Linked DNA regions of Struthio camelus. The protein of the gene in region 1 binds, or shares a complex with, the protein of each later gene. Links are inferred from orthologs where the notes say so. Each region holds a gene or a part of one and is shown on either strand. Other genes may lie near its edges. The genes, in order: NCKAP1, WASF2 and CYFIP2.

Region 1 (3,745 bases):
CAGGCAGTATTTACCACAGCTGAAGAAAATAACTATTTTAATGCCCGCACAGAGTTGTATCTGGGTCATCTCCAGATTTGCAAAGCTATATGTCACATAATAATCAAGCTGCTCCGACATGCCTATATCCATAGGTAATATCAAACCTTATTTGGATTATATGGATGGCAGCTGGAGGAAAAGGTGGTGTTATCTCCAGTGATGATGCTCCCATACTGAGAACCTATCCGATTGCATCACTTCACTACTACCAGCAATAGCAGAAGATACCATATGGACAATCATGCTTAGGATGCTGTCATCCAAATATGCCAGCAAAAACATGTCGGTGGGCACTGAACCTCTTAATATTAGCAACTGTCCCCCGTCCAAGATGCTGGCAATCAAGACATGGTCTACACTTAAAATTTTTAAGGCATGGAGGTATGTCAAGCAAAGGTTTAATTTTCTGAGTCTCTACCACCTCCCCCATCTCCTTCTCCCCCCACAAAAAACCCCACAGCTATGTTGACAGAAGACCTAGCTTAGGCAAAATTAAGCCAGACTTTTTCAACTCACACATCTCTCTAAAAACGTAACAACTACACATGCAAATGGCTTCTTTAAGGTTTTGATGTCATTTTCCCTACAAATAAATAAGTTCTCTTTTGTTTTAAAAGGTACATTTCTATAATTACAATTATTAAATTGAAGCAAGTTTACCAACATACAAAACTGCAAACTAAAGGAACCTTGTTTCAATTTCTGACAGTAACTACTTGTAGTGCTTTGGATCAACACTGAATGCTGCAATCATGCTTTTGAACACTGCAATCATTTTTTTCCTGGAAACAAACACCACCTTAAGTAAAATCAATAGAGCGTTTGGCTATACCGAGTCCTTACTACTTCTAGAGTAGAAGTCTCCCATATGAGAAAACCAATTTGACAAAACACCTATTTCTGCTCAAATGTGTTAAGGAGGAGCACTTCCTCTAAAAATTTAGGTTCAGAAGGCAGAGCGATACCTCAACTTCACACATTATCCTTGCAGACTGAGGCTCGCTAACTGGGGATCTTGGAAGCCACCGGACTCTGCAGGTTTCAAGCAAAAAGTACTGCTCTAGCAGAAGTCAGCAGAATCGAGCATATGCATCGGCACAGATATTTTGACACAACTCCTGCAAAGGTGTGCTTATTGCTTGAATGTAACCACTGCAATTTTCTTACGAATAAACGCTTCTAAGATAAAGCAATAAAGCCTTTACCAAGATTCACTACTGAAACTGAATTAAGCAAGCTTTCAAATTATTCAGTTCAAATGATGTATTACACATCAGGAAAAAAATATAAGCTAGCAAGTATAAATGAAGCACCTGGAGTACTGGATGACTATGATCTACATTCTTCAATTTATGAAAGCAAGGTTTCTTTCAGAAGAGATATTGGCTACATATGAAGACAGCACTATATTTTCCCTTCGATAACACGACGCGCGACTTCCTGCATCTCTGACCGGTCTCACCCTAGGCAAACATTATTTCCTTTTTATTTTTTAATAAGGCAGAGAACAGTTTTAGCACCAGTGACAGCTTAAAACATCTGTTCCAATCCAAGCCAGCAGCTGCTAAGCAACCATGCGCCTCGAACTTCGTGAAATTAAACTTACTAATTTTAACCGGAGCCCTCCCCTCCGGCAGCTACGCGCTCGGCGGGCGGCGTGGGAAAGCGCAGGCTGCGCCGCGGGGCTCGCCGGGGCGATCGGCCCCCGCCGCCTCGGCCCCGGCCCCCGCCGCCTCGGCCCCGGCCCCGGCCCCCGCCCGCCGACATGTCGCCGACCCGCGGCACGCGCCGGCCTAGGCCCCGCGCAGGCGGCCGAGGCGCCGGGCCGCGCCTGCCCTGCGCCAGGCAGCCAGGCCCCCGCCGCCGCCTCCCGGCCGCCGCTAGGCCGCAGCGCAGGGGGGCCGCGACCGGATGAGCCGCCAGCCGGCAGGCGCCGGCAGCCCCGCCGGCTCCGCCAGGGCCCAGGCGGGCGGCGGCGGGGATGGAGCCCGGCCCCGGCCCGGCCCCGGTCCCACTCCCGCCGCCTCCCCGGCGGGGCCCCCGCACCTTCTTGATGTTGTAGAGCCGCGTGAGCATGCCGACGCCCCGGTCGTTCAGGATGGTCAGCTTCTCCGCCAGCTTCTGCTGGCTGGGCTGCAGCACCGCGCGCGACATCCTGAGCCCGGCCCCGGCCCCGGCGCGGCCTCCGCTGCGGCGGCCTCCGGCGCTGCGCTGCGCTGCGCCGCCCCGCACGGCGCCGCCGCCGCCGCCGCCTCCCCTCCCGCCGCCCGCTCGCGGCCCGCTGGGCGTGGCGACCGTGACGGCGACGGCGGCCGGCCCGGCCCGGCGCAGGGGGCGCCACGTGACGCGGCCGGCGGGCGCCCCCTGCGGCCGGCGGCGGCGCTGCCCCGCGGGCTGGGGCGCCGCGCGGCTCGGGCTCGCCCGCGACACCTCCGCCTTCCCGCCGCCGGGGCCCACCGAGGAGGAGGAGATCCCGAGCCCCGGACAGCTGGCGCTCACCGCTCGTAAAAATTTAGGCTCCATTTTTTTAAAATTGGGTTCCCGAAGGAATGGGATTTGGTTTTCCCTTCGGTTTGTTTTTATTTTTAATTTCTGAGTCGTTAGGTTGTATTTTACTTAGAATTCTACGTTGTATTTCAAAACAGTGAAGCACATTAGTTTTTCTCCTAAATTTGTAATGAAAACTGATTTTTTCACTTAATCATGTGAAATCAAGAACTGAAGGTTAGCAGAGCTGTGTATAGTGTATATGGACACAATTATCCGTACTAGTGACACTCACTAATTTTCTGAGAGAACCTTTGTCAGTAACACACAAGCCACTTTCATGATGGGATCCTGGAAGCAAAAAAAGAATCGTACAGACATCTGCTGAAGGTGGTATCAATAAGTTCAGAGTTAGCAACACGCTGAAATTTATGAGGCTCTTATTCCTCTGAGCCATTGCTTTAGAAAGCTGCACAGCAAATTCAGAGAAATACCATTTCACCAATTAGATGACTCACACAGCCACATATATTTTTTCTCTTGGAGCTACAAAGTTTAAAAGGATGCATTTTTAAGTAACAGTGAGATTCCTATGTCATAAATACCCCAAACAGGCATCCGTGAGACCTCTCCCTGTATTCCAAACTTCGTTGTTACCTGTTACTGAGACAGTGCTACTGCTGAGCAGCCAGCACAACCAGCTGGTACGAAAGTCAACTCAGGCTGCTTAATGGAAGATGCACCTAAGAATTAATCTTCTAGTCTATTTCTCTCTCTCTCTCTCTCTCTCTCTCTTTTAATAATGACACCATCTGTGCTTTTTATTGCATTTATTTTAATCTTCGGTTCATATTTTCACATTAGAGATCAGAATCAGCCTTTCAACAGTTTTAAACTAATAGATTCAGAAAGCATAGGAATAAATGTGAGAAGCCTAAATGTAACTAATTTGTTACCAACCTCCTCCTCCTCTTTAGCAGTTACAAGATAATTTATGATTCAGAATGAAACCGGGAAGCAAGAACTTAGAGTTCTAATCTGAAGCCTGCTACTGAGTCATTTTTTGGCCTTTAGCAGTTAGTTTTCTGCCTCAGCTTTTTGTCCAAGAGTTGGGAATAATCTTTTATAGCATACCTAGCAATAATGTTGCAAAGATTAATTAGTTTAGAGCTGACCTTTCACCACTGTAGTCTATAGAAAACATCAGAAACATTCA
Region 2 (3,745 bases), on another chromosome or scaffold:
GTGGGTAACCCTGGTAGTAGGTGCCCCCAGCAGTGGGTAACGGTGGTGGTAGGTACCCCTGGCAGGGGGTACCCCTGGTGGTGGGCACCCCTGGCAGTGGGTAACACTGGCGGTGGGTACCCATGGTGTTGGGTAACACCAGTGCCAGGTACCCATGGTGGTAGGTACCCCTGGCAGTGGGTACCCCCGGTGGTGGGCACCCCTGGTGGTAGGTAACACTGGCAGTGAGCACCCCCAGTGGTGGGCACCCCTGGTGGTGGGTAACCTTAGTGGTGGGTACCTCCAGCAGTGGGTAACATTGGTGGTGGGCACCCCTGGTGGTGGGTAACCTTAGTGGTGGGTACCTCCAGCAGTGGGTAACATTGGTGGTGGGTACCCCTGGTGGTGGGTAACCTTAGTGGTGGGTACCTCCAGCAGTGGGTAACATTGGTGGTGGGCACCCCTGGTGGTGGGTAACCTTAGTGGTGGGTACCTCCAGCAGTGGGTAACATTGGTGGTGGGTACCCCTGGTGGTGGGTAACACTGGTGGTGAGTACCCCTGGCGGTGGGTACCCCTGGCAGTGGTTCGTGGCTGACAGGCAGAGGTGGGTGTCTGGGTTTGCACCCCCAGAGCTGGTGACTGCCAGGCTCCTGCCTGGCCCTGTCCCCCTCAGCCCCCTGCCCTGCTCCCTCCTCCCCTCTCCCCAAAGCCCCTCACCCATACCCCATCACTGCCACCCTGTCCCCTAACCGCCACCCTGTCTCCACCCCTACCCCCTAACTGCCACCCTGTCCCCACCCCCTCCCCTAAATGCCACCCCTGTCCCCAGCCCTGTCCCCTAACCACCACCCTGTCCCCACCCCTGACTCCTCACTGCCACCCCTGTCCCCAGCCCTGTCCCCTAACCACCACCCTCTCCCCACCCCTACCCCCTAACCGCCACCCTCTCCCCACCCCTGACTCCTCACTGCCACCCCTGACCCCCAACTGCCACCCTATCCCACCGCCGCCCCCTCACCCCCACCCCTGCCCCTCTTCCCCCCCCCCCCCGGCGGCCGCGCCGCCCTGGCGTGACACCCCCGCTCCCCCAGGTGGAACTTTCCTTGCGGGGCGTCAGACCATAGAGGCGAAAGGCAGCACCAAGGTGCAGCACTTGGGGGGGGACTCCGGAAAGGAAAGAGACCCTTTTCCTCCAGGCTAACCTAGAAGAAAACCGTGCTCTGGCACCCACAGTCCCAGATGTATATTTTGAAATTCTGTCGCTTTGCGTGACGTCGGGATTCTCCCCGCTTCCCTGGAAATGTTTCTCTCCTTGTCATCCAAGGATCCCCTCTTTAATCCCCTGGATGGTACTTTCCTCCCTGTTTACTCACTTTGCGCGGCCCGCTTGGGTGGGGTTCTTTTGCTGCTCCGATTTCGTACGCAAGTGGCGTAGGACGGCTTTGATAGACGGCAGCGCTCAGCCAATGGCAGGGCAGTAGCCTTGGCCAGCGAGCCAACGGTGTAGCGGACCGGCGGCCGGGAGGAGGCGGGGCAAAGTTTAGTCAGGGTAGGGAGGGGGAGCCGTGGAATGGCGGACGGCCGGGCTGGCCCGCCCTGGTGGTAGCGAGCCGAGGGGGCCGCAGAAGACAGCCTCGGAGTGGGGTGAGTGCGAGAGGGGGTAGCGGCGACCCCCCGGCCCCCCCCGGCCGCCTCTTCCCCGGGGAAAGAGGCGGAGGCGCTGGGGTGGGCCGTTAGGCCCTTGCCAAATAGTGAGCTCTCGGGGTGAGCCGGGCCCTGTTTCCTGCTACATAGTGAGCCCCCTGCCCTGTGTGGGCTCTGGTGCCCCCGGTCTTGGGGGGGGGTCTGGCCCCGGCCTGGGGCGGGGGGAGGAAGGGGGAAGGGAATGGCCTTATCCCAGGCTGACACTTGCCCTGCCCCTCCCAGGGGCCGTGGCTCAGTGCTGGGCTGCGTGGCCTGGGCTGGGGCTGCCCTGCCTGGGGGGCTGAGGGGGAGGGGGCTGCCCTGCCCGGGGGGTGCCAGTGCCCTGGGCTGGGTTAGGGGAAGGCTGGGTGCTGAGCTCTTAGTGGTGTCAGCCCCTGTCCTGGGGTTGTTACTGAGGTCTAGCTTAGCTGGGAATAACTTGAGGGGCCTGGGGAGGAGGAGAGGTTGCTGGGGTGCTCCCTAAAGGAGAAGAAGTGCTGCTTTGCTGGGGGTGGCGGGGGTCCTTCCCTTACCAGGCTGGTCGCAGCCTTTGCTCTCAGGCCTTGACATTAGTTCATCGAAATGGTGCTTGCGCAAATGCGTGCGTGTCTCTTACTTGTGTAGAAAGTTTATCCGTGCGAGTGGCTGACTGCCCTTGTTGGTGCAAGTTCTGGTGACTGCCCTCATGGAGGGTTGCTGTGAAAATGCTTTCTCCCTGCTGGCTGTCCTCCTGCCCCAGAAGTGGGTGCATCCTTCAGTATGTGTGGGTACACCTTATGGATGTGTGTAAGCCCCTCAACTAGCAGCTAACCATGCAGCCATGTAAAATGTCAAACTACTTGAGGTAGGACTGTGTGGGTGCATATGTTGGAAATATCTTCCCTAGTGTTAAATCCCTGGGCACTATCTGAAAAGAAGCTTTAAAGGGTGTAACGGCATATGGTTGGGTAATTTGGTCAAATGTGCTGACCTACCAGTGACCTCAGATCATATTTCTTTCAGAGAAGAAATAAGTTGCCAGGCAATGTCCTCAGGGTTGTACCTCACTAGCATTTGGGTTTATATTGGAGCTACTCCTTTGGGATACAAATAGCGTATGTCCTTTGGAGAAAGGCAAGATGTTGCAGCTCCTCCCTGTTAGCTATTGTTTGACCTTAAAGACCTTCCTCTGGTAGGAGTTTTTTTCTGCTGAAAGTTTCACATTTGGCCTTACTGATTTACTTCCATTAGTAGCAGCAGACTTGGGAGCCCTCACGTAGATGGACCTGCTAGCGGGACTATATGGCGTGTGAACGCCAAGTATTGGCCTGTTCAATAAGACATTAGAAAATGCTGACAGTCTAAGACTCCCAGCATGGCAGATCTTAGTGGATATGAAATAATCTTAATGATGATAAGGAACTTCAGTGAGTACACCTGATACAGACCAGGCTATAATTGCTGCAGACAAGGCCACAAGTTATCAAACCTTTTGTAACTCTCACACTTGTGCATCTTTCCCTCGAACTGGGAAATCTCGTGAGAACGGAAAGATTGAAAGTAAAAGACGTGACAGGCCAGTAGTGTGTGTGTGCGTTTCCCTGTGGCAAAGTTGATGCAAAATGTTACTTTATGGGAAGTATTAAAGTGTGTCTGCTTGATCACATGAGGAAGGGGAATAGTTATGTTTTCTGCTAGTTTTAAAAGCTTGTAGAATTGGTTGCTATAAAATGCTGCTGGAATTAAAATGCTGTGTTGCAACCCTATTCATTAGGAATTCTGACTGGCCTTTTAGTGACCTTGAGTGGATTTTTGTCATAGAAACTAATACTTAGCTAAAACAAACTTAGTTTAAAAACAAACTAAAGCTTACATCTACCAACTGAAAACACAGACAATATGTTGATAGAGTGACTTTGAAAATCCACTTGCACTCGCAGCCAAGGACAAGCTTTATCCAGCGAGTGGGGTGGAGTAGGTCAGGCACTTCACAATTCTGCAGGTTTTTTTTTTTTTAAGGTGTGTACTTGAAATACAGGATTTGAATGAAACAGCTTGACCACAGTCTTTGAGGCCTAATTCAAATCCTTGCACAAGGTGCAG
Region 3 (3,745 bases), on another chromosome or scaffold:
GCATTACCCAAGAATTATAACGCTATGACAGACATCAAAACACAGCTCTAATCACCCATCACAGTGACTAACCTCCGACAACTGTCATAACGTGAAATACGAGCGTGCTTTTTCTTTTGGTATCTGTGCAGGGCAGGCAGGGCCAGGGCTCTGGTGAGTTAGCGACCAAACACAATTCGGTGAGATCTTTGTGATCCAAAAGCTGCGGTTTGAAACCCCCACGTGGAAAGTAACAGATGGCAAAGGGGGACAAGCTCTGCTGCTAGCAGCCGTATCCACTTACTCAGCAGGACCTCAACGTCTGCCCCCAGACACCCTCCCCCTTCCAAAAACAACCAGTAAAGAGGACTCTCAATCACTAAGCCAGCACGGACGGTTTAGTATGTGCCTCTTTTTCTTCTCATCGTTCCTTTCTGATCCCTTCCACCCATGGAAATTTCCTGTGAAATCTTTTCATTCCTTTTCAGGTGGGATGTGGCTGCCACCAGTGAACTCATCACTGACATCCTTGGTTTGAAAGTTCAACACAAAGAAACGCTACCGGGGCACATCTCGACCACAGATTGCCTCATGCGTGGAAAATCAGTCGTTCTGGAGCACCCAGGTTTTGCCAACTCCAACCAACACCAAAGCATAAACCTTGAAAAATCTCTGACAGCACAAAATCCCCAGAGCTCGGGCCCATCCTTCCCAAGCCCCGCTCACACCCCACGGCTTTCTCCTCCCCTCTCCTCCCCGAGGGACACCATTTTTCTATGCTGTTGGTGATGGGAGCTCCGACCGGGGGCCAGGGCCACCTCTCGCTCCTCGGCCCAGTGCATCCGCCGGTCCTCCATCTCCTCCACCCACATCTCTCCCGCGCGGAGCATCGCTCCGACCCCAGCGCTGCCATCGCCGCCAGCGGCCGGGCCTGCGGCGCATCCCGGCCCGGGGCTCGTCGCCCTTCCCCTCCTCCGCGGGGGGATGCGCGCAACCAGGCGGTGCGATTTTGGGTCTTTTCCCCGGCTCTGTGCAATCAATGCAAGGGAGGCTCGATACTGCAGGTGGCTCTAAGCATTGTGGGATACATCCGCGCACATCCCGGCGCCGCCGGGCCTCCTCGCTGCCGCTGCCCCGGGCGCCGGCACCTGCCCCGGCGCCCGCACCCGCGGCCCGCTGCGCCCGCGCGGGCGGCCCAGCGCGCCAGGGCCGGCGGCGGCGGGCGCAACCCCGCGCAGCCGCGGGGGAGGGGGAGGAGGAGGATGCTCCCGCGCAGCCCCCGCGCAGCGCAGCCCCCCGCCGCGGCCCCGCTCACCTGGCGCTGCGCGGGATGCCGCGCTGCTCCGCGCCGCTCCGCGCCGCTCGCACAAAGAGCAGGAAATGGCTGCAGCAAGTGCACTTCCGCGGCTCTCCGCCGGCCCCTCCGCACGGCGGCGGGGGGGGGGAGCCCCGGCCCCCGCCGCGGGAAGGGGCTGGAGCCGCGCGGGCGGCTCCTCCCCCGGGCAGCGCGGGGGATGCGCGGCGCCGCCGCCCCCGCGCAGGGGCGGCCGCATCCCCCCGCGGCTCCGCGCCGCCGCCCCGACCCCTGCTCGGGCTGCGGTGCCAGCCGCCGCGGCCGCCCTTCCCGGCGAGCAGGAGGAGGAGGAGGAGGAGGAGAAGGGAGCCGTTTTGCCGAACTGGCCGGGGGAGAACGGCCGAAAAGCCCCGGGTTATGAGCGGGAGAGGCTGGGGCTGCCGCTGGCGGTGGCGGCTCCCGCAGCCCCCGGGAAGCGCTAGGTGAATGCAGTTAGGTGCCTGAGAAGCAGGAGCGGCCGCGCGCTTCCCCATCTTGCCGCTGCCGAGCCTGCCGGGCTGCCAAGCATGCAGGCGCTGTGCACGGCAGGCGGCTTGTGCCAAAGACAGATTTTTTTAAAACCCTGTTTTAATGACAGTCCTGTTTCCATAATATATATAAAGCCTTGGTTCGCTGACCATGTAAGGGATGAAAACCAGAAGACAATGCCTTTGCGCAGGGCTCCGAGCCTCTTCTGAGTCAGCACTACATCCAAAAGATCTTCCTTTTGGCCTTTTTTCAGGGATAAGCTTCCAGTTCTTCTGCTTGTGATTCTTTTTAAAGCTCCAATACAGCTGTTGAGATCTAGTGTGAAATGCAAAATGGACCTCTTAAAACCTCCAGAGTAACATCTCTGCGTGCAGATTGATACAAACCTTGCAAAGGACTTTCATTCATTCTGCTGTAGCTCTCAGAGGTTCAGATGTTAAAAAGACATCGGTGGATATCCAAGGCTGTTGGAAGCCCAGGGCATGTCTAGATATATTTCCACAGTGGTCCCTGGCAGCGTTCCTTTCCTGAACATTGGTCTATGCTAAAAATAGACTACATCTGGATCTTTCCTGGCTTTGAATAACCACTGCTGATTCCTTACCAGAAAGCCTGCTGCTCTGTTGCCCGTGACAGCTTGGGTCTGAGCTTGCTCAGGAGCACAGGCTCCCAGTGTAAGCTCTGGGTGTAAGCTCTGTTGGCTCCAGAAGGAAGCTTGGGCACCAGGTCTGTGCTGTAGTTCTGCTGCGATAGGTAGAGTGGATGCACTAGGGTCTGCACGCTCCAAAAGCAGCAAGACAGAACTTCAAAACTGTCTTCATTTTAAATAGACAGCTCAACACCTGAACATTATTAATAGCAACTCTAGGAACAGACCCTTCTTCCTTCCCCTATGTAGCAGTCTTCTACATCAGCTTTAACTGGAACATTTTTCAGCCATAGTTCCTCTTTTCACTATCTGTTGCTTGTCAGAAAGATTCAGTAAATTAGCATTCTAACTGCAGATGCAAGAGATTTAACAGCTAGTATTACTCTGAGGCCGTGGATGAAACAAGGTCAATTCAAGAAAATTGTGGCAGTGAAAACTGTTGTGTTTTCGTTTTTTTTTTATTTTTTTTAACTCATTCCCATTATCAGCCAGGCTAATGGTGATGGGAGTTCTGTGAATGTTATGTTATTTTAATTTTCTACTTTTTGTAGTCTTAGATCATAGAATAAGCTTCTTTGCATTTGTCCTGCAGGTCTCTTTGCAAAAGGGGAAGAATGCTGGTGAGGAGCAGACCACATGCAGATACAGATGTGTGCATCAGATGCAGTGTGGGCATCAGCTATTTGTGCGTGTGGATGTGAGAGCAAGAGGTAACGTCATGGTGTTGTGAGGTGAACAGAACAATACACTGAGCTCATCCATGCAAGGAGAATTAGCAAGGAAGGTTCCACCTAAACCCCACCCTGTTGTAGAGAGCAGAGTTCGGAGAGTACAGACAGAGCCATACATCACACGGGAATATATTCATTACAAAATGTTTCAGGAAATTTTGGATTTTTCCAGGCCAAATTTTTCTGTCTTCCAACTGTGAAGGCAGATGTCTCAGTTCTTTCTCACCGTGCAGGTCTAGACCTAATTGGGAATAAAGCACTAGGAATAAAGAACTACGGAAAAAGGTAATTAACGACTGGAACAAGTGGATACTTATGGATATTTAATGAAGAGCAAATGGATGTTTATTGCAATGCTTCCTAAGTGTTGCAGTGCATCTAATCCCACAACTGGAAATGTTTAAAGGAAGACTGGGCAATGCATGATTTTGGGGAGTAAGTTTGTGACTTTGGTAGTTCCAAATGCTACCTGTAACGTGTCGAAACCTACATTATCGTTGGGTTTATGGAAAGAAAGGTCCTCAAAGGGGTAGATAAAGAACAGGCAGGACAGGAAGAAATTGC

What was found.
Region 2: NCKAP1 (region 1) and WASF2 share a complex: the UniProt entries of both Homo sapiens proteins name them as parts of the WAVE2 complex. The link is inferred for Struthio camelus from reciprocal best matches to the Homo sapiens genes NCKAP1 and WASF2.
Region 3: NCKAP1 (region 1) and CYFIP2 share a complex: the UniProt entries of both Homo sapiens proteins name them as parts of the WAVE1 complex. The link is inferred for Struthio camelus from reciprocal best matches to the Homo sapiens genes NCKAP1 and CYFIP2.

What each region holds. Positions count from the first base shown.
Region 1 is NC_090947.1:17,842,140-17,845,884, reverse strand, and holds the start of NCKAP1 (nck-associated protein 1), read right to left. Parts: upstream 2,245-3,745; 5' UTR 2,197-2,244; coding exon 2,089-2,196; intron 1-2,088. UniProt on the Homo sapiens protein: Part of the WAVE complex that regulates lamellipodia formation. The WAVE complex regulates actin filament reorganization via its interaction with the Arp2/3 complex. Actin remodeling activity is regulated by RAC1.
Region 2 is NC_090964.1:6,580,366-6,584,110, forward strand, and holds the start of WASF2 (actin-binding protein WASF2), read left to right. Parts: upstream 1-1,488; 5' UTR 1,489-1,624; intron 1,625-3,745. UniProt on the Homo sapiens protein: Downstream effector molecule involved in the transmission of signals from tyrosine kinase receptors and small GTPases to the actin cytoskeleton. Promotes formation of actin filaments. Part of the WAVE complex that regulates lamellipodia formation.
Region 3 is NC_090954.1:11,239,918-11,243,662, forward strand, and holds the start of CYFIP2 (cytoplasmic FMR1-interacting protein 2), read right to left. Parts: upstream 2,305-3,745; 5' UTR 2,188-2,304; intron 1,435-2,187; exon of another isoform or gene 1,295-1,434; intron 1-1,294. UniProt on the Homo sapiens protein: Involved in T-cell adhesion and p53/TP53-dependent induction of apoptosis. Does not bind RNA. As component of the WAVE1 complex, required for BDNF-NTRK2 endocytic trafficking and signaling from early endosomes.